7 linked regions of the Canis lupus familiaris genome follow. The protein of the gene in region 2 interacts with the protein of the main gene of each other region in a biochemical or structural test. Links are inferred from orthologs where the notes say so. Each region holds a gene or a part of one and is shown on either strand. Other genes may lie near its edges. The genes, in order: FRMPD4, SNTA1, KCNA4, KCNJ4, SCN4A, SLC6A3 and MAPK12.

Region 1 (3,500 bases), on a different chromosome or scaffold from region 2:
CATGACTGGATCTGCACTTATTTGATGATCATTGAATGTTGCTTTTTGTAATTTCGCAAATACTTCACTAAATGTTCTGTCACTCTTAATGGAATTCTAAGTTTCACGGTTGAGTCGGGGTGGGGAGGAAGATGATGTCTTTGGTTTATATATTTTGACATTTAATCAAAAGAGATCTCTCTTTCATCAAACAATTTAATTTTGATATTATTCATTCCTTTCATTTTACGTCGTTAGATCATCTCTAACTCTAGGTATTACCTAGGAACCTGCGCATCATTACCTCTCTTCTTCTATTTGGGAAGTATTTGAACTACAGAAACATCATGAAGAGCATTCGTACTGACACAATCGAATCCACCCCCACCCCATTTCTAGCCCAAATGGCAGAAGCCAAAATTAAATTTTATGTAGGATTCTTGGAAGAAAGCATCAGATAACCAAACACTATGAGCAAAAAATTAATTTATTATATATATTCTCTAATAATTCATAATAGCTTCTTGGATTTTAAATGTCTCTTTTGCTATTTCCAATGCTTAAAAATCATAATTTTAAAACATAAGTACTGTTTTATATACACTATGATTTCTTTCTCTCTCTCTCTCTCTCCCCCTCGCTCTCTCTCTCTCTCTCTCTCTCTCTCTCCCTCTTTTTTAACTTCTAAGTATGAATGATATGGTCTCCAAGTATCCGCTTGGAGGGAAAGGGGATGGGATTCATTGTTTTGCTCTAACACGGGAGAATTTAAAACTTCACATCATATACCTGGAGTTTCAACTATATGAAAAATAGCCAAATGTCATCACTTTCTTGTATATTTCTTTTACATGTATATATATGTATAATATAAACAGAATACTTCTGATTAGTACATTTCAACATTTCATCAATGTGACTTTTATCTCCTATTTTATATAAAATAACAAAATATACAGAGAGAAGAAAGGAGACATCTGTTCATCGTACACATAAAGTAAATAAAAGTTCATGTATGGCTTTGCAAAGGTAGATTATGATGTGACTTTCATACTTTATTTATTTAAAAGCATCTTGAGAGAACGTGTTAGTGTGCTTACGAGGGCGGCCATGGTGGTTGAATGTCGCGCCGAGAGTCCAACATTAGGATCCCCAGTGGTCTTTCCAGTGGCTGCCTCTGCAGCTTTCAGGAGACAAATGTAGTTTATGACCACTTCATTGATCTTCGCTACAATTTCCTGCCGCTGTGTTTCTGAGTTCACGACTTTAACTAATCGCATGCAAGCTTCCGTTAGGCAACAGAGCACTTGAAAGCTGGAAGTCATAGCTAGGAGCATCTCCTCTGGGCTTTTCTCGGCCATCGCCAGCTTCCTACAGGCACTTCCCAACTGTCTGGACTCAATGGACAACAGTTGCTTGTACTGAGAAAGCGTAAGGTCATATGCTTCAGGGCGTGACTCCTCCCTCTTCCCCTTTGTCGCCCTTACGAGGCAGAGCAGCTCATTGGCATCATTTTGGGCTGCGAGGAACCCATCGGGCATTGCGTATGTGCTCTCTTTTAGGGCATTTATTCTTGCAATCCGGGCATCGAAGGCCAGGTTGCTAAAGTCCGCGTCATCTGGGCCACTCAGGTCTTCTGCCCAGACCTTCAGCACTGACCCCCTGGACAGCTCCCCTCCTTGCTTCTGAATCCCAACAGCCGGAGGTGGGCTGATTGGTTCTGGCGTGGCTTGAGTCATCTGTGGCCGAAAGAGGCAAGAGACCTGGCGCGTGGCCTCTCCCTCCTCTTCATCCTCATCTCCATCTTCATCCTGCCCTCGGTTCAGGAAGCAGTAGCTGAAAGGTCCCCGGCATCTCCAGTTGCTGCCTTCCAGCTTGCGCAAGGGTAATGTCCTGTACAGCTTGGAGTCTTTGTGAGCCACCGGGGACCTCTTGTGAACTTTTCCCTCGGAGCTAAAGAACATCGAGCTTTGGGAAAAACTTTTGGTGAGCTTCTTCCCCAGGGGGAGTTCTGCTCGCCTTTCCGAACTGGCCTCCGGTGCTTCTGTGATTCCCGGACACTTTAAGCTGACCGCACCCTTGGTTCTCTCTTGGAAGGTCTCCAAACCCACAGATCCCGAGAGGATACTGCTGCTACGCCGCAGAGCCTTCTGGCTGGGGGGTGTCCCGAGGCTCCCCCCTCTCAGATCCAGTGGCCGCCAGTTCACAGCCTCTCCGTATGCCAGATTTGCTTGGGAGAAATCATTAGGGTCTTGATTTGGAATTGGCACCTTTGATTCCGAGTGAATGTTTGATGGTAGCAGGATGGGATCAGCTTCAGGATGTTGAGACCAAGCTGAAGGCATGCCTCCTCGTCTCTCCTTCCCAGGCTCTGTCAAAGCTACACTAGGGGTAGCAGAAAAACAGAGAGAATCGTTAAGCATCTCATGGGTGGTCATTTTCACTGACTCTCTAGGTGCTGGCTGTCACTTCCCGAGGATGTACTCTAGAAGGGCTGCCATTTGTCAGGGTCACCCTCCTTTTCAAAGACTGCCTCCTGAGATCTCATAAGATTTCCATTTCAAGATATATTGGGTAGCTGTTATTTCTGAAACTATGGATTTATTTGTTTTGAAACTATGGATTTATTTTGAATTGGCTAGAAATCACAATTATTTGCAGAGACTGTGGCGCTTCACAACTTGTCTGACCCCCAGTATTTATCTATCAGTGTTTAGACATGTAATTAGAAAACACACATCCTAGATCTCGGCTATTCAAAATATTTATGACATTTGAGTTTCATTTCAAGGGCGTTAGGTTAGTCCTGGCATCAGTTACTTAGTTACCTTTTTTTTCTTAAGTGGTCTAATTAAGGCAAAGTAAATAAGGTCAGTTTTTCAAGAGGACCCCACGAGGACTGCCTGGTATGGGGTTTGAAGAGGAGACCCTGGGCGAGTTGCTCAACTTTTTGCAAAAAAGTTGTCATGTGAAGAAAATATTTCCATCTCACGGAATTTTTGTGGGAAGAGGGAAATTAGGTGAAAGCTCTTCATGAGCCACGAAAGATTAAACAGCGTGCTTCAGTTAGAGGTCAAGACACTAGCTGAGTGATGAGTTAGGGAACATTCATAGGCAGGTTTCCCGAGGCTGGTGATGTCAGTGGTGGGTTTTGTGAAAGTAGATCATCTTAAAAGGGCAGGAATGGAAATGAACCTATGCAAGATCTCACTAACATCTACTGACCTAGTCTGGAAGAGATGTTATGGATATACTTTGATATCTGAGAGTAGGAAAGAACATCTGTTTTGGCCACGTGATGGCTGGCCGAGTGGATTGGTGAGAGGAATATGTGCCCACTGGGTGGTAGGATGGTGAAGATGGGCACAGAGGTGGTTGTGTTCTTGTTTCTACCTATGCCTACGTTTTATTATTTGGGGGAAAATAAAGCAGCTCATCACGCGTACCCCCAAAGCCTTCCTGACACTGAGGTGTACCGGATACTTCAGGACATGTCTCTATGAGAGTCTTACGGAGTAGGG
Region 2 (4,280 bases):
TCAGTGCTTAGGCACTGACGTCAAACAAGCCTAGGTTTAAGTCCTTTCCCTGTCCTCCTCACGAATGTGTGATAGAGGCCATTTAGGCCTTCTATATCTAAGTTTTCCCTACTGTATAATGGGAGTGTTGCTAACTACAGTTACTCCTGCAGGCTACTGTAAAGTTGAGATAACACAGGAATATGCTCAGATCTAGGCCTGGCCAATGGTAAGCACTCAATAAATAAAAGCGACTAGGGTGCCTGGGTGGCTCAGTCGGTTGGTTAGGGCTCTGCCTTCCTCTGGGCTCACGATCCTGGGGCTGTGGGATCCAGGCCTTTTGTTGGACTTCTGCTCACGGGGGAGCCTGCTTCTATTTCTCCCTCTGCTGTTTCCGCTGCTTGTGCTCTTTCTGTCAAATAAATACAATCTTAAAAAAATAAAAGCGACTGTATTGATTGCACAGGAGTCGCAGTCTACAATGCATTTTCAAATCAATTTGATTCTGACACAAACACTGTCAGGTAGCGATTCTTGTGATCCCCATTTCATAGATAAGGAAATTGAAGCCTGGAGAAGTGAAGTGATGAGATCAAGGTCGACAAGGAGCTAACAGAGTGAGGCCCCAGACCCAAAGCCCCACCTTCCAGCCCTCTTTCCTCACACCAGGAGTCCTGGGTTCTTCTCCAGCCAGGTCTCGCAGAGGGTGTGGGACTTCAGGCTTTTTTTTTTTTTTTTTTTTTTCTGTTCGACTGCTAACAGAACAGGTGGTTAATCTCTCAAACTCCCTTCCATCGAGGTGGCGACCGCGTCCAACCCCTCGGTGGGCCCCGAACGGCCTGCAGCGTGCCCATCCCAGGGGGCGGGACCGTCCGCGAGAAGCCACGCCCACAGGCAGACCGAGGCCCGCGCCCGCGTCGGGAAATCAGCCGCTTCCCAAGCCTGCCTGCCGGCGCGGGGGGCTCCGTGTCCAGCTCGGCCGGCCCCTAAGAGCAGCTCTCCGCAGCACACGGCTCTGCGCCCACCCCCAAAGCCTCGCAACAGGATCCGCGGTCCTACCGCTTTCGCTCAGGCTCCTACGTCCGTGAGCTCCGGTCCCGGCCCTCGACGGCCTTGCGGAGCTCCGAGCCCCTCCGCGGGCTCCTGCCCGGACACGAGGCCCCGCCCCGGCGGCCCCGCCCCGCCCCGCCCCGCGCGTGGCCGCGGCGCCCCTCACCCTGGACCGCTCGCCCTACGCCCCAAGGCCGCAACCCCCCGGGCGCGCGCTGCCCCGCCGCATCCCTCGGGTCCCCGCGCCGCCGCGTGCCCCGGCTCGCCTGCGCCCCGCCCCGCCGCCGCCCCCCGCCGCCAGCCACACCCCGGCGGCCCCGCCCCAGGCTCCACCCCCAGCGGCCCGGGGTAGGGTGGCGGCTGGCCCAGGCGGGCCCCCGCTGCCCTCTGCCCCGGGCGCTCGGTCGGAGCGGGCCGGGCACTGCGGGGCAGGGGAACGCGGCGGCCCGGGGGCTCCGCGGCGAAGATGGCGTCCGGCCGGCGCTCCCCGCGCACCGGGCTGCTGGAGCTCCGCGCCGGGGCCGGTCCGGGGGCGGGCGGCGAGCGCTGGCGGCGGGTGCTGCTCAGCCTGGCGGAGGACGCCCTGACCGTGGGCCCCGCCGACGGCGAGCGCGGCCCGGAGCCCGGCGCCCCGCGGGAGCCGGAGCCCGCGCAGCTCAACGGCGCCGCCGAGCCCGGCGCGGCGCCCCCGCAGCTGCCCGAGGCGCTGCTGCTCCAGCGGCGCCGCGTGACGGTGCGCAAGGCCGACGCGGGCGGGCTGGGCATCAGCATCAAAGGTGGGCGCGGGGGCACCGGGGGCGCGGGGGCGCGGGGTCTGCGGGGTCTGCGGGGCCGCCGAGCGCGCCGGGGTCGCGGAGGCCGGCCGAGCGGCGCACGCGGGACGCGGAGTTGGAAGACTTCGGTCCGGGGACGAGGAGGGTGGCTGAGGGACAGAGGGACCGAGGAGGACACGGGGAGCAGCAAGGTCGGAGGCCTCAGTCAGAAGGCACAGGCGGAGGCAGTGGGGGCGCACCAAGGACAGGCGGGTGGCTTCTGTGTGGAAGCATAGAGACGTCAGGGGTTGCGTGGACATCAAGTAGGAGAGGAGCCCGGAGAGCGACGGATGGAGAGAGGGGATTGAGGCCTGGGAAGCTTCCCTGAGACGCCGCCAAGGTGGCGGGGAGGGGTAAGGCCTGGAGTTGGGAGCACAGGTTTGGAGACTTGGGGAGAGGCACAGGCTGGGCTCACAGACAGGGGTCCAGGAAGGACCCAGAAATCTGAGGACCCAGGACCCCATGTATCTAGGTGGAGAGTCCCGACAACTGGGTTTGAGTTTCCCTGCCTGGCCATCATCACCTTGCGCGGAACTGAGAGTGGGCATAGAGAAATCTCGGCCCCGATACTGAGAGCTTTCTTTAGGATGCAAGCAGGTAGTGTTTGAATCCTGGATCTGTGTGCACTTAGACAAGTCACTTCCCATTTCTGGATTTCAGTTTCTTTGCTATATAATGAGGCTAATGATAGAGTTGTAACAATTCCATGAGAACAGGAGTCTGAAATTTGTACTCTGCCAGCACGCAGTAGATGCCTAGTTAATTATTGCTGTTAGATGAGAGGAAAAATGGAGTCCAGGAGAGACTGCCAAGGCAACTAACCATAGTGCTTAAAATCCCTGTATACTCACAGCAGCTGGGTTCACCATTCCTACCCATCTGCTTCTCAGGGTGCTGTCTGCCTCGGGAAAGGGTGTTGGCTCTTGTATCACCTTGGATATGCACTGTTCTCTCCCTGCTGCTGGGTCCTTTCATTGGTGTCTCCAGACCCTTTGGCCTGGGTGAGGGGGTGGGGATGGTGGTGACTCAGCTACCACCGTGTGCTGGAATGCTGTGTTCCGTACTTAGGATCTATTTTATCCAGGCAACAAGTGGTAAAAAGTGAGGAGCATAATCTCCATTTAGCAGGGGAAGAAACTGAGACTCAGAAAAGGAAAACAGGGATCCCCGATGGCTCAGCGGTTTGGAGCCTGCCTTCGGCCCAGGGTGTGATCCTGGAGTCCCGGGATCAAATCCCACATCAGGCTCCCTGCATGGAGCCTGCTTCTCCCTCTGCCTGTGTCTCTGCGTCTCTTTCTGTGTCTCTCATGAATAAATAAATAAATAAAATCTTAAAAAAAAAAAAAAAGAAAAAGAAAAGGAAAACAGTCTTCCCAGGATCACACAGTGAATGATTTGAACCTCAATGATCAGGCCTTAAGAGAGTGCTCAGAGGATTTGGTTCTTCCCCATCAAAGGGCAGATTATCAGGCAGCTGACCAAAGGAATCTAAAAGGGAGAAATGGGGAATGCGGAGAGTGGACACCAGTCTTGCCCCTCAACTCCAGAGTGGAATAGGGCAACAGATCAATCCAGAAATTGGACACTCAATGTGTTAAAGCAGAAAGGAATTAATTTTTTTTTATTTTTTAAAGATTTTATTTATTTATTCATGAGAGACACAGAGAGAGACAGAGAGAGAGAGAGAGGCAGAGACAGGCAGAGGGAGAAGCAGGCTCCATGCAGGGAGCCCGACGTGGGACTCCATTCCGGGACTCCAGGATCACGCCCTGAGCCAAAGGCAGACACTCAACTGCCGAGCCAAACCCAGGCATCCCAAGCAGAAAGAGAGTTAATATAGAGTTCCATTTTACAGATGGACAAGCTGAGACTTGGAGAGGAGCACAGACTTTCCAAGGTCACATGAAGTTACTCCTTAGCTTCATACTGCCCAGTGGGAGTGAAGGTACTTTTAGGAGAGGTCAGGGGAAGTACTAGCTCCATTCAGTTCTTCATGAATAGAGACTGGGCTCTTGTTGCCATGGTGACCTCCCTTCGAGGGTCCAGCCTGGCTTGAGGTGGCTTGGGATGATCATAGCTTCAAATTGAACTGAATTTCCTAGTTTCATGTGGAGGAGAGCAGATATAAATAGAAACCCACTCCTTTCTAGGCTTTAAGTCCTGTGCCATGCAGTGAGCATACTATTGGGCCTGTATGGGGGCCAGGAGAGGCATTCTAGTCCTACCTTTGCCACCAACTTATTGTGTGACCTTGAAATAATGACCTCCTCTCTATGGGCCACTAGATCCTCATCTTCAGCATTCTGGGATGGACCAGTAATATGATATCTGAGGGCCTAATTTACAGTCAACCATAGGGTTAAGAGCCTGGTTCTGGAGCCAGGAGACCTAGGTTAAAATACTACTTTGCTGCCACCAACTAGCTGGATGACCTTGGGC
Region 3 (4,054 bases), on a different chromosome or scaffold from region 2:
AAAACTCGGGTGGGTTTAGGCTCCGAGGCCGACAGGATTCAGCCTGGAGCAGCAGGTGGTCAAGCGCTGAATCCTGCTAATGGCTCCAGAAAGCCATTTCTCCTGTGCTCCCCAAGTGCTTCCAGTAATAGAAACTGGTGGATGCCCTGAATTCTGACTGTCGTGATCCTCCCCAGCTCTCGGGGCCACCCTGCGTTCTCGGGAGTCCTGTCGGACCCACTGAATGCAAAAGCATAGGAGACAGAAGACCAGGGCAGTCTTTCCAGGTCCTGCTGAGGACGTGAATTAGCTGGACCTGGAGGGAGCCGACCTAGAAGAGAGGCCAGGAATTCCAGGTGACAGAGGAGCCAGATCGGGGCTGCGAGGAAGATGCGATCAGCAAGTGGCAGATCGGAAACAGAAGTGGGCAGAGAGAGGCAAGGGAGCCGGCCGGGGTGGGTCCGGGAGACGGGAGATGATGGATGAAATTATGAGGGGAATGTCTGATGGGTGGAGGATAAAATCCGCACAAACTGGGATTTTAAACATAAGGAGATAGTCCCCTGAGAAGATGTAGGAGGAAGCATTGAGGTGAACATGGAGGAACCGCGAGGAGGAAAAAAAAAAAAAAAAAAAAAGATGATTATCAGAGAAGTAGAAACTGGGATTAGCTCCTAGGCTGTGGGTGGTAGGGAGTGTTCTGGAGTCTGGGGAACAGAAAAACAACAACAGGGACATGCTTCAGGGCGGCAGGAAGTGCCAACCTAAGACAGGCCGCTGGGGAGTCTCCGAAGGCCCCCGTGTCCTCACTTCTGTCCTCCCCCTAACTGAGACTGTGGTGCATGGACATAGGGGTTTGGGGTGAGTACCAGACAGCAGAGGCCGAGGTCACTGTCGCCCTGTTCAGAGCCGGCAGCATGATGGACGTGCATGATGTCTGTGCTCTGCTGGCAGCGTTCACCGTCTCCGTCGGTCCTCACCAAGAGACGGGGGAGGTTCCATGTGCCCTGCACTTCGTAGGTGAGGAGACTGAGGCTTGTGGAAGCCGTGGAGCCTGGGTGAAAGCAGGCCGGTTCCTCCAGCGGCCCTGATCCTGAATCAAGACAGAGAGGGGTGGAGAGGCACTAAATTCAGAAGTATTTGATGAGTGGAAATTCAGAAAAAAAAAAAAAAAAAAGAAAACCTATGCCTTGAGATCAATGAATGATGGAAGCAGTTGTAAGGTGACCGCGTCGTTGTCGTGGAAGGAAGAGAGTGACCGCGAGAGTTAAGACCTGGCATGAGCGAAAGGGACGGCCACGTGGGTGGAGTGGAGAGAGGAGAAATAATTGAGTTGCCATGAAAATAGCCCGAGCGGGAATCAGAACCAAAGAAGAGGGCAGGAGGGTGGTTGGGTGAGGAGGAGACGTAACCGGCTGCGGTGGTCCCTCGGGGCTTCGGGTGCCTTGCTTGCTTGAGGCCCAGAAGAGCGGGGTCTGGGAAGGAGGCGCCGTCGGCTCTTTACGCGTCGATGCTTTTTACTCTGCTCCCATGCTTGTTCCCTTCCTTTTTCAGGTGGAGTGCTGCTTCTGCGCCGCCGCAGCTGAAGGATGCTCTGCGCTCCCTGGCTTTCCATGGAGACCTCCGAGCCGGGTTGGCCCCCGCTGACACCTCGCCTCGTACCTTCTCTACCTCCCAAGCTGTTCGCCTGTGTCGCGAGCTCGGCCCGGGCCCCGCGCCCCGGAGGCCTGTGCTGAACCCAGGGAGCGGCCGCGGGCTCTGGGCGGCGATGGCCCGACGCGCTTCCAGCCGCTCGCCCGCTCGGGTCAAGCCGTCACGAGAAGGCAAGTGCTAAGACTAAAGGCTTATTTGCATTTTATTTAAATCTGATGGACCGAGCTTTGGACGATTTCCATGGCAGAAAAATCCATTCCGTTTTCCAGGCACAAGTGCTGGCCGTCAGATAGCCGCGGCCTTTGAATCCCGGGCGGCGGCGGTGGCCAGTTGGGGCCGCGCTTCCAGACTGCGCCTGGGCCCCGGGCGCTGGGGGCCCCGGCGGGGACTTGGGCCCGGCGCGCGCTACCCGGACGGGCCGGGCCTGGAGAGCAGCGCTCGTCCCTGGGAACCGAGAGCATGGGGCGTGCTGGTTTAAAAACGGAAAATGCAAAGTTGGACTGAAAATATCCTCAGTCTTCCGAGCAATCTGCTGAACGGTTCCAAACTTACCTTAGTGTGGTGAGGCGGGGAGCTGCCCCACTTTCCGTCGCCCGCCTCCCGCGGCCATGGAGGTCGCGATGGTGAGCGCCGAGAGCTCGGGCTGCAACAGCCACATGCCCTACGGCTACGCGGCGCAGGCCCGGGCCCGGGAGCGGGAGCGGCTGGCCCAGTCGAGGGCCGCGGCGGCCGCGGCGGTGGCGGCGGCCACGGCCGCGGCCGCGGAGGGCGTTGGGGGCCCCGGGGGCGGCGCGCACCAGCAGCACCAGCAGCATCAGCAGCACCAGCAGCAGCAGCTGCAGCAGCAGCAGCCCCGCGGCACCTGCCCCGCACTCGAGCCCCAGGGCGGCCGTGTGGCCCGGAGGCGCCGGCGCTCGCGGCCCAACCGGAGGAGGCCTCAGCCGCGGCCCGGCGGCTTCCCGCACGGCTCGGACCTGCTGCCCAGCGGCTCGGAGGAGAGGATCCTGAGGGAGCTGAGCGACGAGGACGAGGACGACGAGGACGACGAGGACGCCGAGGAGGAGGCCCGGTTGGGCCGCGGCCAGGACGACCGCGCGGCCCACGGCTCCTGCAGCGACCTGCTGCCCCGGGACGACGGCGCCTACGGCCCGGGCCGGCCCAGCGGCTGCTGCGAGCGGGTGGTCATCAACGTGTCGGGCCTGCGCTTCGAGACCCAGATGAAGACCCTGGCCCAGTTTCCCGACACCTTGCTGGGCGACCCCGAGAAGAGGACGCAGTACTTTGACCCGCTGCGAAACGAGTATTTCTTCGACAGGAACCGGCCGAGCTTCGACGCCATCCTGTACTACTACCAGTCGGGCGGCCGCCTCAAGAGGCCGGTCAACGTGCCCTTCGACATCTTCACGGAGGAGGTGAAGTTCTACCAGCTGGGAGAGGAGGCCCTGCTCAAGTTCCGGGAGGACGAGGGCTTTGTGCGGGAGGAGGAGGACCGGGCCCTGCCGGAGAACGAGTTTAAAAAGCAGATCTGGCTCCTCTTCGAGTACCCGGAGAGCTCCAGCCCGGCCAGGGGCATCGCCATCGTGTCCGTCCTGGTCATCTTGATCTCCATCGTCATCTTCTGCCTGGAAACCCTGCCCGAGTTCCGGGACGACAGGGACCTCATCATGGCACTGGGCGCGGGCGGACACGGCGGGTCGCTGAACGACTCCTCGGCGCCCCACCTAGAGAACTCAGGGCACACCATCTTCAACGACCCCTTCTTCATCGTGGAGACCGTCTGTATCGTCTGGTTCTCCTTCGAGTTCGTGGTTCGCTGCTTCGCTTGTCCCAGCCAAGCGCTCTTCTTCAAAAACATCATGAACATCATTGACATTGTCTCCATTTTGCCTTACTTCATCACGCTGGGCACCGATCTGGCCCAGCACCAGGGGGGCGGCAACGGGCAGCAGCAGCAGGCCATGTCCTTTGCCATCCTCAGGATCATCCGTCTGGTCCGCGTGTTCCGGATCTTCAAGCTGTCCAGGCACTCCAAGGGCCTGCAGATCCTGGGCCACACGCTCCGAGCCAGCATGCGGGAGCTGGGCCTTCTGATCTTCTTCCTCTTCATCGGGGTCATCCTCTTCTCCAGCGCCGTGTACTTCGCGGAGGCCGATGAGCCCACCACCCATTTCCAGAGCATCCCAGATGCGTTTTGGTGGGCCGTGGTGACCATGACGACTGTGGGCTACGGGGACATGAAGCCCATCACCGTGGGGGGCAAGATCGTGGGGTCCCTGTGTGCCATCGCAGGTGTCTTAACCATCGCTTTGCCAGTGCCAGTGATTGTCTCTAACTTTAACTATTTCTACCACAGAGAGACTGAGAATGAGGAGCAGACGCAGCTGACACAGAATGCGGTCAGTTGCCCGTACCTCCCCTCTAA
Region 4 (4,279 bases), on a different chromosome or scaffold from region 2:
TGGCAGGTAAGTGCCTGGTCACTGTCACAACTTTCCGTGGAAATTGGGAGGGTGCAGGAGAAGCAAATGACCCGTGGTCTCTTCACCTAGCCAGAGGTCTGCCTGCTGGCTGCCCTGGAAATGTGGGGTGCAGGGCAAGGAGGGAGGGGCAAAGGGGGCGGGGAATGGAGACTGAGGGGTCTGTAGACCTAGAGCCTCTGCTCCTGTGGGGTCAGTCCTGATGCTGGGTCACTGGGCACAAGTTCAAGGGAAAGGTAGGAGCTCAGGGACAGAGACTTCTGGAAGATGGAAGGGGGAAGCCTGGTGGCTGTGACATCATAAGCCTGAGAGGAAACATTTGGTAATGGTCCCCTCCTCCTGGGGCTGTAGCCTGGGATCCTCCTGCAAGGAGGGTCTGGTGGAGGCTGGGAGTGACTGGGAGGAGGTGGGAAGAGGCAGAAAAGGCAGCTCCAGCCAGAGAGAGGTTCAGGGACCCCAGGAAAAAGAGTCCCTTCACCTCCCCCCCCACCCCGCTCTGCCCCAAGCCTGATGTGACTCTGGACAGCTCACTTGTCTCCGTGCCTCAGTGTCCTCATCTGTATGACAGCCTATTGTGTCATAGGATAATAGCCCCACAGTTGAGATGATGGGAGCTTAGGGGCGGAATTCCCTATTGTCCAGCCCATATTTGAGAAGGGCAGGGGTGGGGAGGTGGAGGCAAGGAGGGATGTGAGACAGGTGTGCAGGGGCTCACAGGGGCAGCGGGTAGAGGCTTGGCTGTCAGAACCTGGGCGACCCTGGGCAAGTTGCTTATCCTCTCTGGACCTCAGGAGCCTCATCTGTAATGGGACAGTCTGGACTGGGTCCCCAAAAGGCAAGTAGGCTTTGTGGTCATCCAACACCAAAGCGCCCCCTGGGAAGAGTGAAGGGAGCAGACGCCCCTGGGGGTGATACCATTAGCCCAGCACTATTCTAGGCTTGCACAGGCATTGTCTCATTTAATCCTTACCAGAACTCTATGATGCAGGCGCTTGTTACCCATGGGGAAACTGAGGCATGGGCCATGTTGGTACATGGCCAGGGACAACTCTGTGGAAGGGCAAGACTTGCTCTGAAGTTTGATAGGTAGTGATGGTAAAACGTTCATCCAACTGAACATTTTGCCAAAGCTTCTTGGCCCATTTTCCATTTTCAGAGATGATCCTCCCAGTGTCTTCATGAGGGAGCCTCTAGGACTATCCCTCATTCACAGGTGAGGAAACCGACCTGAGACACAGAGAGAGGAAGTGCCTTGCCCATGGTCACTCAGGGAGTAAGCAAATGTCTCAGCCACATTTGGAATCCATTCCTAGTTTCTGGGGAGAGGTCGTTTGAGGCCAGCAGAGCACTCGTGAACTGGCTCACTCTAGGAGACCAGTCAGGCCTCCCTGGTCCCATAGAGGCCTTGAGAGCAGGCACAGAAGGCCTGGAGGACTGCAGGTGGGAGGGCCTGAGCCAAGCTGGGAGAGGAGTGGGGGAGGTGGGCCACCAGGGGCCACTTCCAGATGCCAGAGTCACAGAGTCCAGGGGTTTGGGACTTAGAGAGTTCCTGAAAGTCTGGCCAGCCCATTCTACAGATGGGGCAAACAGAGGGAGCCCAGCTGCTTAGATTAGGAATCAGACCAGGACACAGCTGGCCAGCCTCAGAACTCTGAAGTCCCAGCAGCCCTGAGGGGTGAGGATGGATGGTGGGGAAAGGGGTAATGGGAGCCCACAGGGCCAAGACCCATCCCAGCGGCTATGCCCTGGGAATGGAGGATTGCAGGGGTCTCTCCCGCCCTCCACTCCCCCCCTCGCCCACCCCCCAGCACTCAGTAGTCACCAGGGTGGAATATTTTAGCACCTATAGAAAAACCGCCACAGACGGCCGTGGCAGCTGTTGCTAAGGAGACGCTCCCAAAATAGCCCCCCTCCGCCAACCTTTCCCGCTGCTGCTCCTGCTGTGGGGAGGGGAGGAGGCCAGAAGGGGAGGGGGTGGCATGTGAGCCCTGGACCCAGGTTCACCCATCCGCCCTTGCTCCTGCTGCCCACATGCCCCAAGATGGGGCAAGCCAATGACCAGAGCAGCCACAGGTCTGCAGAGGGGGCAAGAGCTAGCCTGGGCACAGTCCTCAGCTGGAGGAAGGTCACCCAGATGAGGGGAGATGGGGGGGAAGAGAGCCCCCCCCACCCGAAACCCTCAGCACACTCCTACACATGCACGATTACAGACCTCACAGTTTTACACATCCACTTGTGCACACCACAAGTACAGACCCACAAATGCCCTCCTTGATATGCATATTCACCACCACAGACACAAATAGATGCACGGGTAAATACATATGCCTCAAATACACAACACACACCTGCAAGCACATACCACGCAGCCATAAATACACACATTTACACACACATACTCAAATATGAATCGCAAGCACACACAAATACCAATGTATGCATGCACGCCTGGCACATGTACCCCCACACACGCACCGCAATGTAAATACGGTCTCACAGCACACGAACACACAACTGTAACAACACATGCCCAGCATGTGGCATTCAAAGAGCATTAAGTGGTGTTACCATCGGGTTCTGTGCAGGAGCCACGTCCTGGGCTCTCCAGACATCCTCACTTAGTGGGGGCACTTCTGCGATCCAGCTACAGGGTAGCAGACTAGGAGGCGGTGTCCAGGAGGGTGGTGGAGGCTGCCGTCTCTGTGAATCCCTCCGGTAGGTGGTCTGGGGACCAAAGGATCCCTGGTGCCTGGGAGAGCTACGCTGGGTCCATTGCTTGGGAAAGGGGATGTTCCGGGAAGGAAATCTCACCCTAGAGACTGCAAACCCATGGGCATGGGGGGAGTTGGGAGCCCCATGTTCACTGGGCACCTGGTTGTCACCAAGCCTGCAGCTGAGGCCAGAATGATGATGAGGACAAGAAGACAATAGAGTGGCAGCAGTGATGGTCCTTAACAGGTGCACAACACTTTACAGTTTATAAGCCACTTTTACACCCGTTATTTCACACACTTGGTAACAGCTGCCCTGAGATATCGGTGGTGCTGTCCCATCTCTGCGGCAAAGGCAGGAGAACGGACTTGAAGACCGCACAGCGGCTTACTGGCAGAGCTGGTACCAGAGCCCAAGGAGGTGCCAGCACCCAGCTCTATGCACCCTTCACTCGGCTGGACCGCACAAGCTAGAAAGCAGGCCACCAGGGTGCAGGGCTTGCCTTTGCCCCTGATTCGCTCGCTCTGTGATATTGGGGAGCAGCCAAGCGGTCCACCTCCCCACCTGGAAAACCGAGAGTGAACCCCAGGGGTGTATTCATCCTGCAGTTGGCGGGCACCGGGCTAGGGGGTGGTGCCAGATGCCCCCCCCCCCCCCGAGAATGCCAGCGCAAGGACGAAGGGCACCCGTCGCTCCCCTCTGCCCTCGGCCAGCCACCGTCTCTCTCCAGCCACCTCTCCCCAACCGCCCCCCCCACCTCCCGCGCACCGTTGGTTCCGTGGCTCCGGTTCGGCGATCCGGGCTCCGGGTCTTCGCTGACGCCTCGTCACTCGGGAGACGCGGAGAGCGGCTTGCGGTTGCCGTGGGAACCCCGCGGCGGCCCCGGAGCGGCGCACGACTCGGAGCCCGGGGGCCGGGCCTGCCCCGCGAGCGCCGAGGGGTCTTTGGCGTCTCAGACAGACACCTGTCGCCAGCGGCGAAGGGAGGCGGCGTCGCAAGGTTTGTTATGCTTTTCTTTTTCTTTTAATTGAGGTGTGACTTACAAACTGTAATACATCTTAAGAGCACAGCTCGATGGATTTTTACATATGCAAAAAACCCGTGTAATCACCACTGGGATCAAGATACAGAACACTTCTAACGCCCCAGAAGGCTTCCTCGGGCCCCGAGGTTATTTTTAATTGTCTTTTTTGCACTTCTGGAATAAACCGGCGAGGGAGTGATCGGCTTCTGAGAACACAGAATGTGTTTTCTCCTGGCTCTGCTTTGCGGATCCTCTTTGGGCCTGGGTGTCCCATAAAGGGGAGCAGGGGACTGGCATTTGTTGAGTGGTTTACTCCTTGCAAAGCGCTTTAGGTACCTAGCTAACTTTGACTCCTATCAAGTCAGTATTTGGTTTATACCCAGGTTACCCATGGGAAAGATGAAAGTTTGCCCAAATTCCTACAGCCCATCAGTAAGTGGTGACACTTGAGACTTGAACAAACATCTGTCTAGCCTTGGCATTCATTCTTCCTCCCCTTTTCCTGCTTATTGGCCTCTTATTTTT
Region 5 (3,482 bases), on a different chromosome or scaffold from region 2:
AGAGGCAGATGATGCTATTGCCAAAGGTTTCAAAGTTGAACATGTCATCGATGCCCGATTCTTTCTTGACATAGGCAAAGTTGGACATGCCAAAGATGGAGTAGATAAACATGACCAAGAAGAGCAGGAGGCCAATGTTGAAGAGGGCAGGCAGGGACATCATGAGGGCAAAGAGCAGAGTCCGGATGCCCTTGGCCCCTCGGATCAGCCGCAGAACACGCCCGATCCGAGCCAGGCGGATCACTCGGAACAGTGTGGGTGACACGAAGTATTTCTGGATCAAATCGGAGAGCGCGAGGCCTGCAGGGAACAAGTGGTGAGGAGCACTGTCCTTGGGGTGGGAGGTTAGATCAGGGAGTGGGGGCAAGGGAGACTCAAGGGGACCTGGCTTGGTGTGCTCTTCCTTGGAAAGGAAGCAACAGAAGCACAGTCTAAATGACCTGGCCCGTGAGGCTGGGCTCTCCTAGGGTCCTGGGGCTAGGGTTACACTGTAGCTGGAAGGAGGTGAGATACACCCAAGTTGATAGAGAGAGGGTAAGGCTGACTCCTAAGGCTGTTTGCAGATGCCACAGATGAGACAGAGAGGGAAGACAGCTCTGTGTGTGACTCTGAGCATGACATTTAACTTGTTTATAATTCAGTTTCCTCCTCTGTAAGGCAGAGGTGGTAACAGTCCCTGCCTCCTGGGATGGCACAGTGTCAGGCAAATAGTAAATGATCAATAAGTGGTAGTTAGTTGCTATCATAATTACACATGTGTCTATGCACTTCTGTGTGTATGGATGATACTAGAACCATCTTATGTCTTCCACTAGGCACATGGACCTGAGTGTGCATCTACTGGTAGGTAAATGTTTCTAGAAGCATATTCACGTGTATGCAGGTGACAGATTGCCTATGAGCCCATCCTATGTATCTTTGTGTCTTAAGTGTGAATGCCAGGTGCATATTGCACATGCGTATGTGTAAATGTATGTGTGAGCTTTCCAGGTGTGAGAGCAGGTGTGTGTACATAAGGATGGGAGCAACGGGCCTTCCAGAATGACTCAGCCCAGCCTGGCCCTGCTCACCCACAATGGACAGGATGACAACCACAAAGTCGAAGATGTTCCAGCCGACGGTGAAGTAGTACTGGCGCAGGGCAAGCATCTTGAGCACACACTCCCCAGTGAAGATGATGATGAAGATCATGTTGATATTGTACAGGATGTCCACTTTGAGTTGGCTCTGGTCGTCTGTTTCCACCATCATGGTGACCATGTTGAGGCAGATAAGGATCATGATCGTGATGTCAAACACCTGCTTAGTCACGCAGTCGTACACCATGCCCTGGATCTTGTTCTGCAGCATGGTTAGGAGTGCAGGGGTGCAGGTGGGTAGATGTGGGGGGCAGTGGTCAGGACCCACACAGGATGTGGACAGGCAGGAGACACAAGATGACACAACAGCATGATACAGAGAGAGAGAGAGAGAGAGAGACAGACAGACAGAGACAGAGACAGAGACAGAGAAAGAGAGAGTGGGGTGTGTGTGTCAGGGCTTGTGGCCATGAGAGAGGAGGGGATAGAGGGGGTAGAGTTGGCCATGGCAAGGAGGGGATACCCATCAGAACAGGCCATTCTTTGGGGTCCATGGGTATCTTCCTTACTCTAGGACCCTTCCTCTCATCAAGGCCCCCAGCAACCTCTCATTCTTCTTCCACAGTCATCACTCACTGGGGAAGGTGTCTGGACATCCTCTTCCTCCTACTTCTAGGGGCCCTTGCCCCAGAGGTCATCAGTTGAAGGAGTGGGTAGACACTGGGAGGCTGTGCAGGGCCGGGTGAGGGGCAAACCAGTGACTGGGGTCGATCAGGCAGCTGCTGCTCCCACACATGGTGCCTCTGAGCAGTTATAAAGAGGCACATTCCCCTGGCAGGGAACCCAGCTTCCTTGCAGGTGGACTCAGCCTCACGCCAGGGATATGGGCTGGTGGGCAGAACTTAGCTTGCATTTTACCCCCATGGGCCCCCTTGGGCAGGAGGTTCATACAGGTTGGAGGAGGAGGGGCTCAGAGGGCTGGTACCTGGGGCCGGGGAATTGGCTTCTGAGGCTTCTTGGAGCCAAGCTTCTTCATGGCATTATAGTATTTCTTCTGTTCCTCCGTCATGAAGATGTCTTTCCCTCCAAAGTATAGTGGGATGGTGCCTATAAGTTTGGAGGCCTCTCTTCTCTGCCTCTGGGACCCCCTACCTCAGGCACCACCCTTAAGGCAGCCCCCCTACCAGCAGGGGGACCTGGAGGGCCCAGAGATAGGGGCTGAGGGAGGGAGGGAGGGGAAGGGGGACTCTGTCCAGACAAGGAACAGAGGGGAGGTGGAGGGAAGGGGACAAGCACTGGCTCGTAGCCTGTTTGGGGCCGGATGCTTTTCAGCAATATCTTGCTGCCTCCTCTGAATGATGACCCAGCCAGGTAGGTAGCACCAACCTCATTTCTTAATAAGGTAACCAGAGTTCACAGAGGCCAAGTGACTGTTCAAAGTCACCAGGGAGAACCTGAACCCAGGCCGGCTGCCCCAGTCCCGCTGCCAGTGGCAGCACAGTGGGTGCTGAGGTGGCAGGTGGGAATATATGAAGGGACCAGTGAGTGCAGGGAGGGTGGGTGGATACTCATCTTCTTCTTCTGCTGGTTGAAGTTGTCGATGATGACGCCGATAAAGAGGTTGAGGGTGAAGAAGGACCCGAAGATGATGAAGATGACAAAATAGAGGTACATGTAGATGTTCACCTCATACTGTGGCTGTTCTTCCTTCTGCAGAGGACACAGGGCAGGATGGGATGGGGCTCCAAGATGGGATGGGGATGGGATGTGATGGGATGCGATGGGATGGGATGGGATGGGGATGGGGATGGGGATGGGACAGGATGGAACAAGATAGAATGAGGATGGGATGGGATGGGGCTGGGATGGGATGAGATAGGAGGGGAAGGGATGGGACAGGATGGGATGGGATGGGAGAGGATGGGATGGGATAGGATGGGGATGGAACAGGATGGGATGGGACAGGATAGGGAGGTTGGGGGGAGTATGTTGGCTGCTCCCGGCTCCCCATCTCACTGTGGGCAGGAGGAGTCTGGGACCCAGAGGTGGATCCTTCCACCCCCAGGTTGCTGATTTTGGGGGCTCCTGAGGAGGTGGAATGGGGGTGGGGTTGGGCAGAACTGTCATTGTGCCTCTGATCTGCGTCCTCTCCCCTGGCTCACTTGCCAGCCACATCTCAGTGAGCCCCACTCACCTCCCGGGAGTCCACGGCTGCATACATGATGTCCATCCAGCCCTTGAAGGTGGCCTGGGGAGTGTGGTTGGGTGTGAGGAGAGGGGCTGCTTCTCATTTCCACCATCCTTGAGTCTCCCTCCTCACCCCAGCCTGATCCTCCCCAGAGCACGACATAGAGACCACGGAGGTCTAGATACTACCTCTCGTGTCCCACAGCACTGGAAGCA
Region 6 (3,500 bases), on a different chromosome or scaffold from region 2:
CCATGCAGCCTGGGCACGACCTGTCACTGCGACACTTAAATTCAGGAAATGCAGTGGGGGAACAGCTCAGCAGCAAGTGGTGTGGGTGATTATCACCCCTGAGAACAGCAAGCTCAACTTCTCTTTATCTAGACGATTCTCACTTGCTCTCATCACGTTAGGATTTGCATCCACATGCTTGGACCCCCACCCCCCGCATCTCCATCTCCCACCCATGTGTCCAGCTGCGGACCATGAGCCCTGTCCTTCCTTCCCCGTCCTCCTCACCATGCTACTCTCTTCTAGTCCCACACCAACAGCATCCTCCTAAAGACAAGCACGTCCCATGGTGTACGACTGTTTCGCGCCCCAGCCACACTCCTCCTGACCATGACTCAAGAAAACCACGCATCATCCTGGCTGTGCCCCCAGACATTCCAAACCTGCCCCTCAATGCCGCTTCCCCCCATGGAGATATGGTGCCCACATGGGGCACAGAACCCCAGACCAAAGCATTTCAGGTTCTTGGTGTCTGAGACATGGTGTGACTATGGGTCTCAGCCCCTAGGAACACCTGCCCCACACCTACCACCCTGCTAGCAGCACCTAGCTCGCGGCCACAGGACGGGTCTCTGGGGCCCCAGGACTTGGACAGTCCCCTCCTCCCAGGAAATCCCTCCTTTCCTGAGTTCTTGGGGAATCCTAGGGGAGGCAGTGGGCATCTCTGTCCACCTGCCCGAGTCCTGGCTCTTCCCAGGAGGACAGGTCTGATGACTCAATGGGTGGCTCTTCTAGGTGGAGTCAGGCCATGTAGACGAGGGCAAAGGGGGCAGGAGCTGGGCCCAGAAGACCCAGAGAAGAATTGATTCGGGGATGTGGTGGATGCCAGGTGGTGCAGGTGCAGGGGAGGGGAGGGTACTGGGCAGCCCCCTAGATGTGGGGACCCAGGAGTGACTTGGGCAAGAACTAACGTTGTGTTTGTAGGAGGAAGAGAACATCTCAGGAGAAGCAACAGTGGCTGCACCTGGCACGCCTGGCCTGCTTAGGAGGCCGGAGGGGCGTCGATTCTGCATGCAGGGAAGGGCGGGGGGGGGGGGGTTACGGAGAAGGCAGAGCCAGGTCCGCTCTGGGGGTGGCCCTGCAGCCCCCGCCCAGGGCCCACACGTCCTTCTGCAGGTTGCCCTTGGCCATGTCGTGCTCGCTGTGGGACAGCGCGGCCGTGGGCCTGCTCTGCCTCCCACCCAGGACTCACTCCACAGGAGCGTCGCTGAGCCACTAGACGTGGGATTTGGAGACGCACCCTATGGGGAACCCAGAGGAATGGCATGCAGGCACCAGACAAGGGACCTCACCCCACCCTCGCAGGGTAGCATGGGCAGGGTAGCCGACCCCCGGGGCTGCCGCAGGGCACTGGACACTGTGTCCTTCCCGCCCCGAGGCCGACACGGCCCGTGACGTGCCACCACACCCCCACTTACTCAAAGTACTCGGTGGCGGGTGTGGTCCTGAAGGTGTCGTTGGGACTGGAGCTGGAGTTGCTGGAGTGGGCGTCTGAGCAGTTGGGGCTGTTCCACGTGTTGTTGCAGTGGACCCACGGCAGCTCCACGGTGAAGGAGGAGAAGAAGTAGTGCAGCGCCCAGGCGATGATGACGTTGTAGAAGAAGCCGACGTACAGCGAGATGAGGATGACCGTGAAGCCCACGCCTAGGGCGGGAGAGCACAGAGCGCCGTCTGCAAGGCACCCACCCTCCTTCCCTTACGTCGACTGGCTGACCACTGACATGGACACCTGGCCACGATGCTGCACACCCAGAGCCAACTAGTGAAGGCTCAGGTGGCAAAATTCATGCCATGATCACTGGCGGCTGCACCCAACCCCCCAAGCATCCAGGGCCGTGTGCCCTCAGAGACATGCATGGTCACCTAGGGCCACCCTGGTAGAACCAGGTCACCCACATACATACGGGGTGACCGAGGCCTATCTGTGGCTATCCACTACCACTTGTGGCCACTCAGCATCAACCTCAAGGGCCACCAGGTCATTGTGCCACTAGGCATAACTATCAGAATCATCTACTAGCACCCGTCACAGCTCAGGGCCATCTAGGGATACCCAGAGATACGCAGCATCACCCTCAGTCATCTAGGGTCACTCAGGGACATCCAGAGACACCAATGGTGCTTAGAAGCTAGGGTCCTCCATGGCCACCCACAGCTACCCAGAGCCGTTCAGAGCCATTTATGGCCACTCAGCGCTGCTCGTACCCCTCAAGACTACCCAGGGTAAACAGAGTCGTCTGGGTCATTCACAGCTTCCTAGAGCCACTTTGAAGTCACACAGGGCCACGTAGGACCATTCAGCATCAGTCAAGGCTGTGCATGACTGTTCAGGGTCCCCCACCATCCCTGAGCATTCAAGGTCAGCTAGAACCATGCATGACCGTCCAGGGCCATCTGGGGCCATCTCTGACTGTCCAGGGTCACCTGGGGCCACACATGACAGTCCAGAGTTACCCGGGACCATCCCTGACCATCCACGGTCAGCCAGGGCCATCCCTGACCGTCCAGGGTCTCCTAAAGCAAACCAAGGCCTTTTGTGGTGACCTTTCCAGGGTCACAAAATGTGGGATCAGTCACTGAGGGGCTCTCAGCAAACTAGGACAGAGTGGCGAGCAGTCTTTGGAGCTGTGCCATCCTGATGGTGGCAGGTGCATCCGGCCTCCTCCCGTTGGCCAAGGGGCCTTCAGGTAAGTGTCCCGTTCCTGCCACATGGCTCCTCCATCAGGCTCCACACAGAACTCTTCACTTCAACTTTCCTTCTGAGCTTTGCAAATGGGATTTGTTTGGACTCAAGCTTTGATTCTCTCAGTTAAACCTGGTTGGTGCTGCATCTCGTGTGCCCGCTCGCAGCTGGGCCTGGCTGCAGGTGGAGCAGGCCTTCAGGTGATGTTTCCAGGAAGTGGCTTGTGGTGTCCTTTATGGACGTAACCCTGAGGAGAAGCAATTTTCATGCTCAGGGCACCTCACTAAAACTCTCTTCCTGCCCTGACAGCACAGAGAGGCACCAGAATTTATTTGTGCAAGTCTACTGAACAGACCAGTAGCAGGAGGGCCCTGAAAATAAAATAGGCCCTGGCGTGCAAACCGTCTTGGAAAACGTGGCAGGGTCTACGATGACAAAAACGTGACGGTTTTCTTCGGAAGGCCTTCCCGGGGTGGACTTGGTCAACGTGAAATAATGTTATACTGCAATTCTGCTCGCTGAGCTCCTCAGGACGGGGGCTGGGTTGTGATTCGCAGTGACCTGGCCTGGGAAGCTGTGTGGCCGGGGAGCTGTGTGACTGGGAGAGCATTGTGGAAGGCTGTCTCCAGCAGTGGGCTGACTGTGGATCCCTGGGTGGCGGGCTGCAGGCTTAGCCCTGTCCTGCACCCCGCCCCCCAAAAAAACACGGGGAACTCGGCACACTCCTGTCGGACTCCGGGAAGCCCGCAGCCACGTGCCAGCTCCAGCCAGCCCCACG
Region 7 (3,993 bases), on a different chromosome or scaffold from region 2:
AGCAAAGGTCAGCGGCTCTAGTTACAGGCCATGTCCGATGCCAGGGTCCCAGAGCACGGGACCTGCCAATGACAGATGCAGGCCCCACGCTTGCATGCCCAGCACTGGAGAGGGCCCCGCGCCAGGCGTGGGGGCAGGAGGCCCAGGGCCCACCCACTGTGCCAGGGCCATGGGTCCCGGGGGGCATGTGGCAGGGGGCAGACTGTGGTGCAGGGAAGGGACCCCCACTCGGGCTGCAGGGACACCCACAGACCAATGCGGAACCCGAGTCAGCACCCAGGAGCAACCCAACACTCCCTTGCCCTGAGCAGACTGCCCTGGGGCCGCACTCACAAGTCTGTGAAATCATCCAGGGTTTCATCAGGAGTGAACACGTCCAGCAACCCAATGACCTGGGGGGAGGCCGGAGTACCTGGTGGAGTGGGGGCCTGGCGGAGGGCACGGGGTCAGGTACACCCCGAGGCGGCACGGTGCCCCAGGTGGGAAAGCCCCCTACAGCTGTCCCCGTGTCCCCCCACTGTCCTACTGGCAGGACAGCCTAGCCCTGGCACACATGCCCATAGACACAGGCTATTTTTGAATGGTGACTGCAGGGATCCTCTGGGGGAGGGGCGGTCCCAAGTCTGGGTCGGCTCCCAGCCATCCAAGGCACTCCAGCCCCCTGGCCCTTCCCCCGCCTCTTCTCATGCCCACTGAAAACCTGACGGCAGGGTGGGACAGCCTCCCAGGGGAGAGCCAGCACCCAGCAGGCCCATCAGGGAGCCCTAGCTCTGCCAGTGAGGCCCAGGCAGGCAGCACGACAACCAAGGCAACGGCTAGACCCGGCCCCGCGGAGCCCCAGGAGGCCTGTACAGCTGAGTGGCCAGAGGGGCAGGTGGATGTGCCAGCGGGGGGACACCTGGCAGAGGCCAGGCAAACGAGGGCCGAGGCAGAAGGGAGGACACTTGAAGCGTTTGAGGAACACGGGGAGAAAGGCCAGGTGGCTGAGGCCCAGGCCAGGGAGTAGCCAAGGAGAGGCCGGAGGGAGCCGGGCGGGCCCTCGCCTGCCAGGTGAAGGTTTGGCCTTGATCCTAAGAGCTGCCAAGAAGGGGTTTAAACAGGTGCGATGCCTGCTGTGTGGGGACAGATGGGAGTGAGGCAGGGACAACTAGGTGACTGCGCCACCAGGGCCAGAGTCACGGGCACAGGGGTGGACAGAACATAGAGGGATGTCCGGTGAGGGGCCTGGGCCACCGGGAGAGTGTCTTGGCAAGAAGGGGATGGAGGGCAGGGTCCCTGAGGGTCAGGGGGGGTCTGTCACGTGGAGAGGGATCTGTGCCCCTGTGGATTCTGGCCTCAAGTAGAGGGAGGGAAGGGAGAAGGTGCCAGGTGTGGGCGGAAGGGCAGGACCCGGCCGGCACTCTGCCTCTCACGGCCTCAGTGTCCTCCCAGGGCAGCGGGGTCACAGTCAGCCATGTGCAGGGCACCCCGAGGCGGTGGCACCGGCTGCCAGAAGGTCAGGAGCTCAACTGGGATGGTGCAGAGGAGGAGATGCGGCAAGGGTGGGAGGCGACCGAGCAGGCCGCCCTGAGATCTTGGGGGCAGGAGCCGGGGGGGCAGCTGGGGAGGAGGCTGCCACCACAGGGAGCCAGCTGGGCCTCACTAGGGGAACCAGGAATTGGTGAGGTCGGGGCTGGGCTGGCGTCCCGCACGAAGGGATGTCCCCAGGGAGGCCCAGGGGCAGAGGCAGAAGTCTGCGTGAGTGAAGCACCCGCTGCAGCGCCATCGGCCAGGAGCCCAGGAGACCCGGGGCTCGTTTTCCCCCGGGGAACGGAGGCTGATGACCTAGAGCCGGACCATCCGTAAGGGTACCCCGCCCCCCCCCCCACCCAGCAGCCCTGAGACAGCCCGATCCGGGGGTGACGCGGGGTGGGCTGTGCAGAGGGCAGAGCTCGGTCGGGGAGGCCCCCCAGGACACAGACCGGGGCTCAGCAGCCAGCAATGGGCACACAGGCCGCGGCAGCACACGGTGCCCCAAGGGCAGGTCGGGCATCAAGGGAGGCCCTTGCGGGTGGGGCCGCACATCTGCCACCCTGGAGCGAGGCGACCCTGGGCCGGCCACCCGGCCTCGGCTCTCCACGGCCGCCCGTAGCCCCTGACCACGGGGCACTCCCCGCTCGGCGCCCGCTGGGCAGACTGTGGCCCATGGCCTGGGTGCAGGGGCGCCCTGGGTGCAGCTGCGGGGGATGCCCAGCCGGGCGATGGCGCCCCTTCCGGGACCACCGCGGCCTGGGGAGGCAGGGCTGGGCCGAGTGAGGGTGCCAGCCCGGCGAGTGTCCCCCCCACCTCGGGGGTGAGCCCGGCCCAGCCGCACCCGGGGGCGCCCACTCACGTTCTCGTGGCGCATGTGCTTGAGGAGGCGCAGCTCGCGGTAGGCGCGCTTGGCAAACAGCTCGGACTGGAAGGGCCGGTACAGCTTCTTGATGGCCACCCGGGCGCCGCTGCGGCTGTCCACCGCCGAGCTGCAGGACGCCCTGCTCAGCAGCCGCCCGCCGCGCCCCCCCCCCCCCCCCAGCCACCCGGCCGCCCGCGCTCACCACACGGCCCCGTAGGCGCCCGAGCCCACGGGCTGCAGGTCCTGGTACACTGCGCGCACCTCCCACGCCGTCTTGGTCACCTCTTGGCGGTAGAAGCCCCTGCGGGCGGGCGGCGGGGAGCTCATGGTGCCCAGGGCACCCCCCCACCGCGCCCCGAGCCCGGGACCGGGTCGCCGCACCTGCTCGCGCGCCTGGCACCGCGGGTCTCCCCTCCCTCCTGGCGCGGCTGTCCCGCGCCGCGACCCCCGCCTGCCCCCTGGCCCGGCCTGGCCCGCAGTCCCGCCCCCGCCGCGGACCAACCGGCCCCCGGGCCGCGCGCACGTGACGCCCCCGCCCGTCCCGCGGAAACCCGAGGAGGCGCGGGGGCGGGGGGGCGGGGGGGGGGGGGTGTGTGGAGGGCAGGGCGCGCCCCCAGAGCCCGAGCCCAGCGCGGTGTCTGAGCAGATGCCCCTGGGTCACCGCGCTGCCCCTCGCGGAGCTGGGCCCCCCTGCTGCACAGCCCGAGCTCCCCCAGTCCCGGCTGCAAGTCCCTGGCCACGGCCGGCCTGGCCACCTCCACCGTGTAACCCGGGCCCCATTCCTGTGTCCCCCTTGTCACCTGCCCACCTTGCGGGACAGCCCCTTCCCCTGGGGCTGATCCATCCAGGTCCCAGGGTGGGCCCCCACCCCCACCTCCCCAGCACCTACTGCCTGCATCCCCCTCTCCTTGGGGAGGAGCTGGTTCTGTCTCCCAAACTTAGGCTGCATCCCCAACACCCCTCGGTGTGACCACCGGGCCCCGGCGCCAGAGAGGGTGGTGGTGTAGGTCTCCCTTGGGCCCCCAGGCACACCCAGCTCCCTGCCGGCCACCTTCCACCCAGCTTACTCCCTCCTGACCATCCTGAGCCTGGCCTGAGCCTCCCCTCTCTCTCCAGACTTGACTCCCAAGGGTGAAGGAGGGCCCTACTTGGGCTCTCAGGGCCCCCCTGACCCCTAGGTGGGGCATCATCCTTCCACGGGTCTGGCCATATCCCGGACCGGATGCTCCTGGGGGACAGAGCCCCCTCCACGACCTGCTCAGCCCAGGGACCCAGGTCCAAGGTAACAGGATCCCCAGGGGCCCTCCCCTCCCTCTGCCCTGCCGGCCACCATGAATCAGCAGCTCAGAGCGGCCAGAGCAGCTTTCCACCTGGGCTTCCACAGGACTTGGAGACCAGCCAGAGAGAGCGGCCTGGGCCACTACAGCCACAATCACCTGTGCCCTTCACGCCTGGGGCCGACCAGGCAATCCCCCTGCCTCTCCCAGGAGCCCCTCGCTGGCTGCTTCCTCCCCGTGGGGGGCCCGGGGTATGGCAGGTGTCCCCAGGTGGTGCATCCCAGTTCTGCTCCCGTCCGCTGCCCCTCACCACGGGACTTGGTCCAACCTGGTCTCCAAGGG

What was found.
Region 1: the proteins of SNTA1 (region 2) and FRMPD4 interact in a test that uses a peptide from one of them, tested with the Homo sapiens proteins (2 studies listed by IntAct, with this or other methods). The link is inferred for Canis lupus familiaris from reciprocal best matches to the Homo sapiens genes SNTA1 and FRMPD4.
Region 3: the proteins of SNTA1 (region 2) and KCNA4 interact in a test that uses a peptide from one of them, tested with the Homo sapiens proteins (2 studies listed by BioGRID and IntAct). The link is inferred for Canis lupus familiaris from reciprocal best matches to the Homo sapiens genes SNTA1 and KCNA4.
Region 4: the proteins of SNTA1 (region 2) and KCNJ4 interact in a test that uses a peptide from one of them, tested with the Homo sapiens proteins (2 studies listed by BioGRID and IntAct). The link is inferred for Canis lupus familiaris from reciprocal best matches to the Homo sapiens genes SNTA1 and KCNJ4.
Region 5: the proteins of SNTA1 (region 2) and SCN4A interact in a test that uses a peptide from one of them, tested with the Homo sapiens proteins (2 studies listed by BioGRID and IntAct). The link is inferred for Canis lupus familiaris from reciprocal best matches to the Homo sapiens genes SNTA1 and SCN4A.
Region 6: the proteins of SNTA1 (region 2) and SLC6A3 interact in a test that uses a peptide from one of them, tested with the Homo sapiens proteins (2 studies listed by BioGRID and IntAct). The link is inferred for Canis lupus familiaris from reciprocal best matches to the Homo sapiens genes SNTA1 and SLC6A3.
Region 7: of the proteins of SNTA1 (region 2) and MAPK12, one has a biochemical effect on the other in vitro, tested with the Homo sapiens proteins (2 studies listed by BioGRID and IntAct, with this or other methods). The link is inferred for Canis lupus familiaris from reciprocal best matches to the Homo sapiens genes SNTA1 and MAPK12.

What each region holds. Positions count from the first base shown.
Region 1 is NC_049260.1:9,192,596-9,196,095, reverse strand, and holds part of FRMPD4 (FERM and PDZ domain-containing protein 4), read right to left. Parts: intron 2,365-3,500; coding exon of another isoform or gene 2,360-2,364; coding exon 1,035-2,359; 3' UTR 1-1,034. UniProt on the Homo sapiens protein: Positive regulator of dendritic spine morphogenesis and density. Required for the maintenance of excitatory synaptic transmission. Binds phosphatidylinositol 4,5-bisphosphate.
Region 2 is NC_049245.1:23,168,104-23,172,383, reverse strand, and holds the start of SNTA1 (alpha-1-syntrophin), read left to right. Parts: upstream 1-1,480; 5' UTR 1,481-1,495; coding exon 1,496-1,805; intron 1,806-4,186; exon of another isoform or gene 4,187-4,280. UniProt on the Homo sapiens protein: Adapter protein that binds to and probably organizes the subcellular localization of a variety of membrane proteins. May link various receptors to the actin cytoskeleton and the extracellular matrix via the dystrophin glycoprotein complex.
Region 3 is NC_049242.1:51,057,489-51,061,542, reverse strand, and holds the start of KCNA4 (potassium voltage-gated channel subfamily A member 4), read left to right. Parts: upstream 1-1,254; 5' UTR 1,255-2,240; coding exon 2,241-4,054. UniProt on the Homo sapiens protein: Voltage-gated potassium channel that mediates transmembrane potassium transport in excitable membranes. Forms tetrameric potassium-selective channels through which potassium ions pass in accordance with their electrochemical gradient.
Region 4 is NC_049231.1:27,320,468-27,324,746, reverse strand, and holds the start of KCNJ4 (inward rectifier potassium channel 4), read right to left. Parts: upstream 2,801-4,279; 5' UTR 2,587-2,800; intron 1,232-2,586; exon of another isoform or gene 1,175-1,231; intron 7-1,174; exon of another isoform or gene 1-6. Other genes in the region: uncharacterized protein LOC119876745, read right to left, coding at 3,499-3,750. UniProt on the Homo sapiens protein: Inward rectifier potassium channels are characterized by a greater tendency to allow potassium to flow into the cell rather than out of it.
Region 5 is NC_049230.1:15,070,962-15,074,443, reverse strand, and holds part of SCN4A (sodium channel protein type 4 subunit alpha), read right to left. Parts: intron 3,328-3,482; coding exon 3,274-3,327; intron 2,790-3,273; coding exon 2,652-2,789; intron 2,170-2,651; coding exon 2,065-2,169; intron 1,342-2,064; coding exon 1,071-1,341; intron 301-1,070; coding exon 1-300. UniProt on the Homo sapiens protein: Pore-forming subunit of Nav1.4, a voltage-gated sodium (Nav) channel that directly mediates the depolarizing phase of action potentials in excitable membranes.
Region 6 is NC_049255.1:11,357,321-11,360,820, reverse strand, and holds part of SLC6A3 (sodium-dependent dopamine transporter), read right to left. Parts: intron 1,684-3,500; coding exon 1,458-1,683; intron 1-1,457. UniProt on the Homo sapiens protein: Mediates sodium- and chloride-dependent transport of dopamine. Also mediates sodium- and chloride-dependent transport of norepinephrine (also known as noradrenaline). Regulator of light-dependent retinal hyaloid vessel regression, downstream of OPN5 signaling.
Region 7 is NC_049231.1:17,892,086-17,896,078, reverse strand, and holds the start of MAPK12 (mitogen-activated protein kinase 12), read right to left. Parts: upstream 2,801-3,993; 5' UTR 2,702-2,800; coding exon 2,577-2,701; intron 2,502-2,576; coding exon 2,372-2,501; intron 429-2,371; coding exon 334-428; intron 1-333. UniProt on the Homo sapiens protein: Serine/threonine kinase which acts as an essential component of the MAP kinase signal transduction pathway.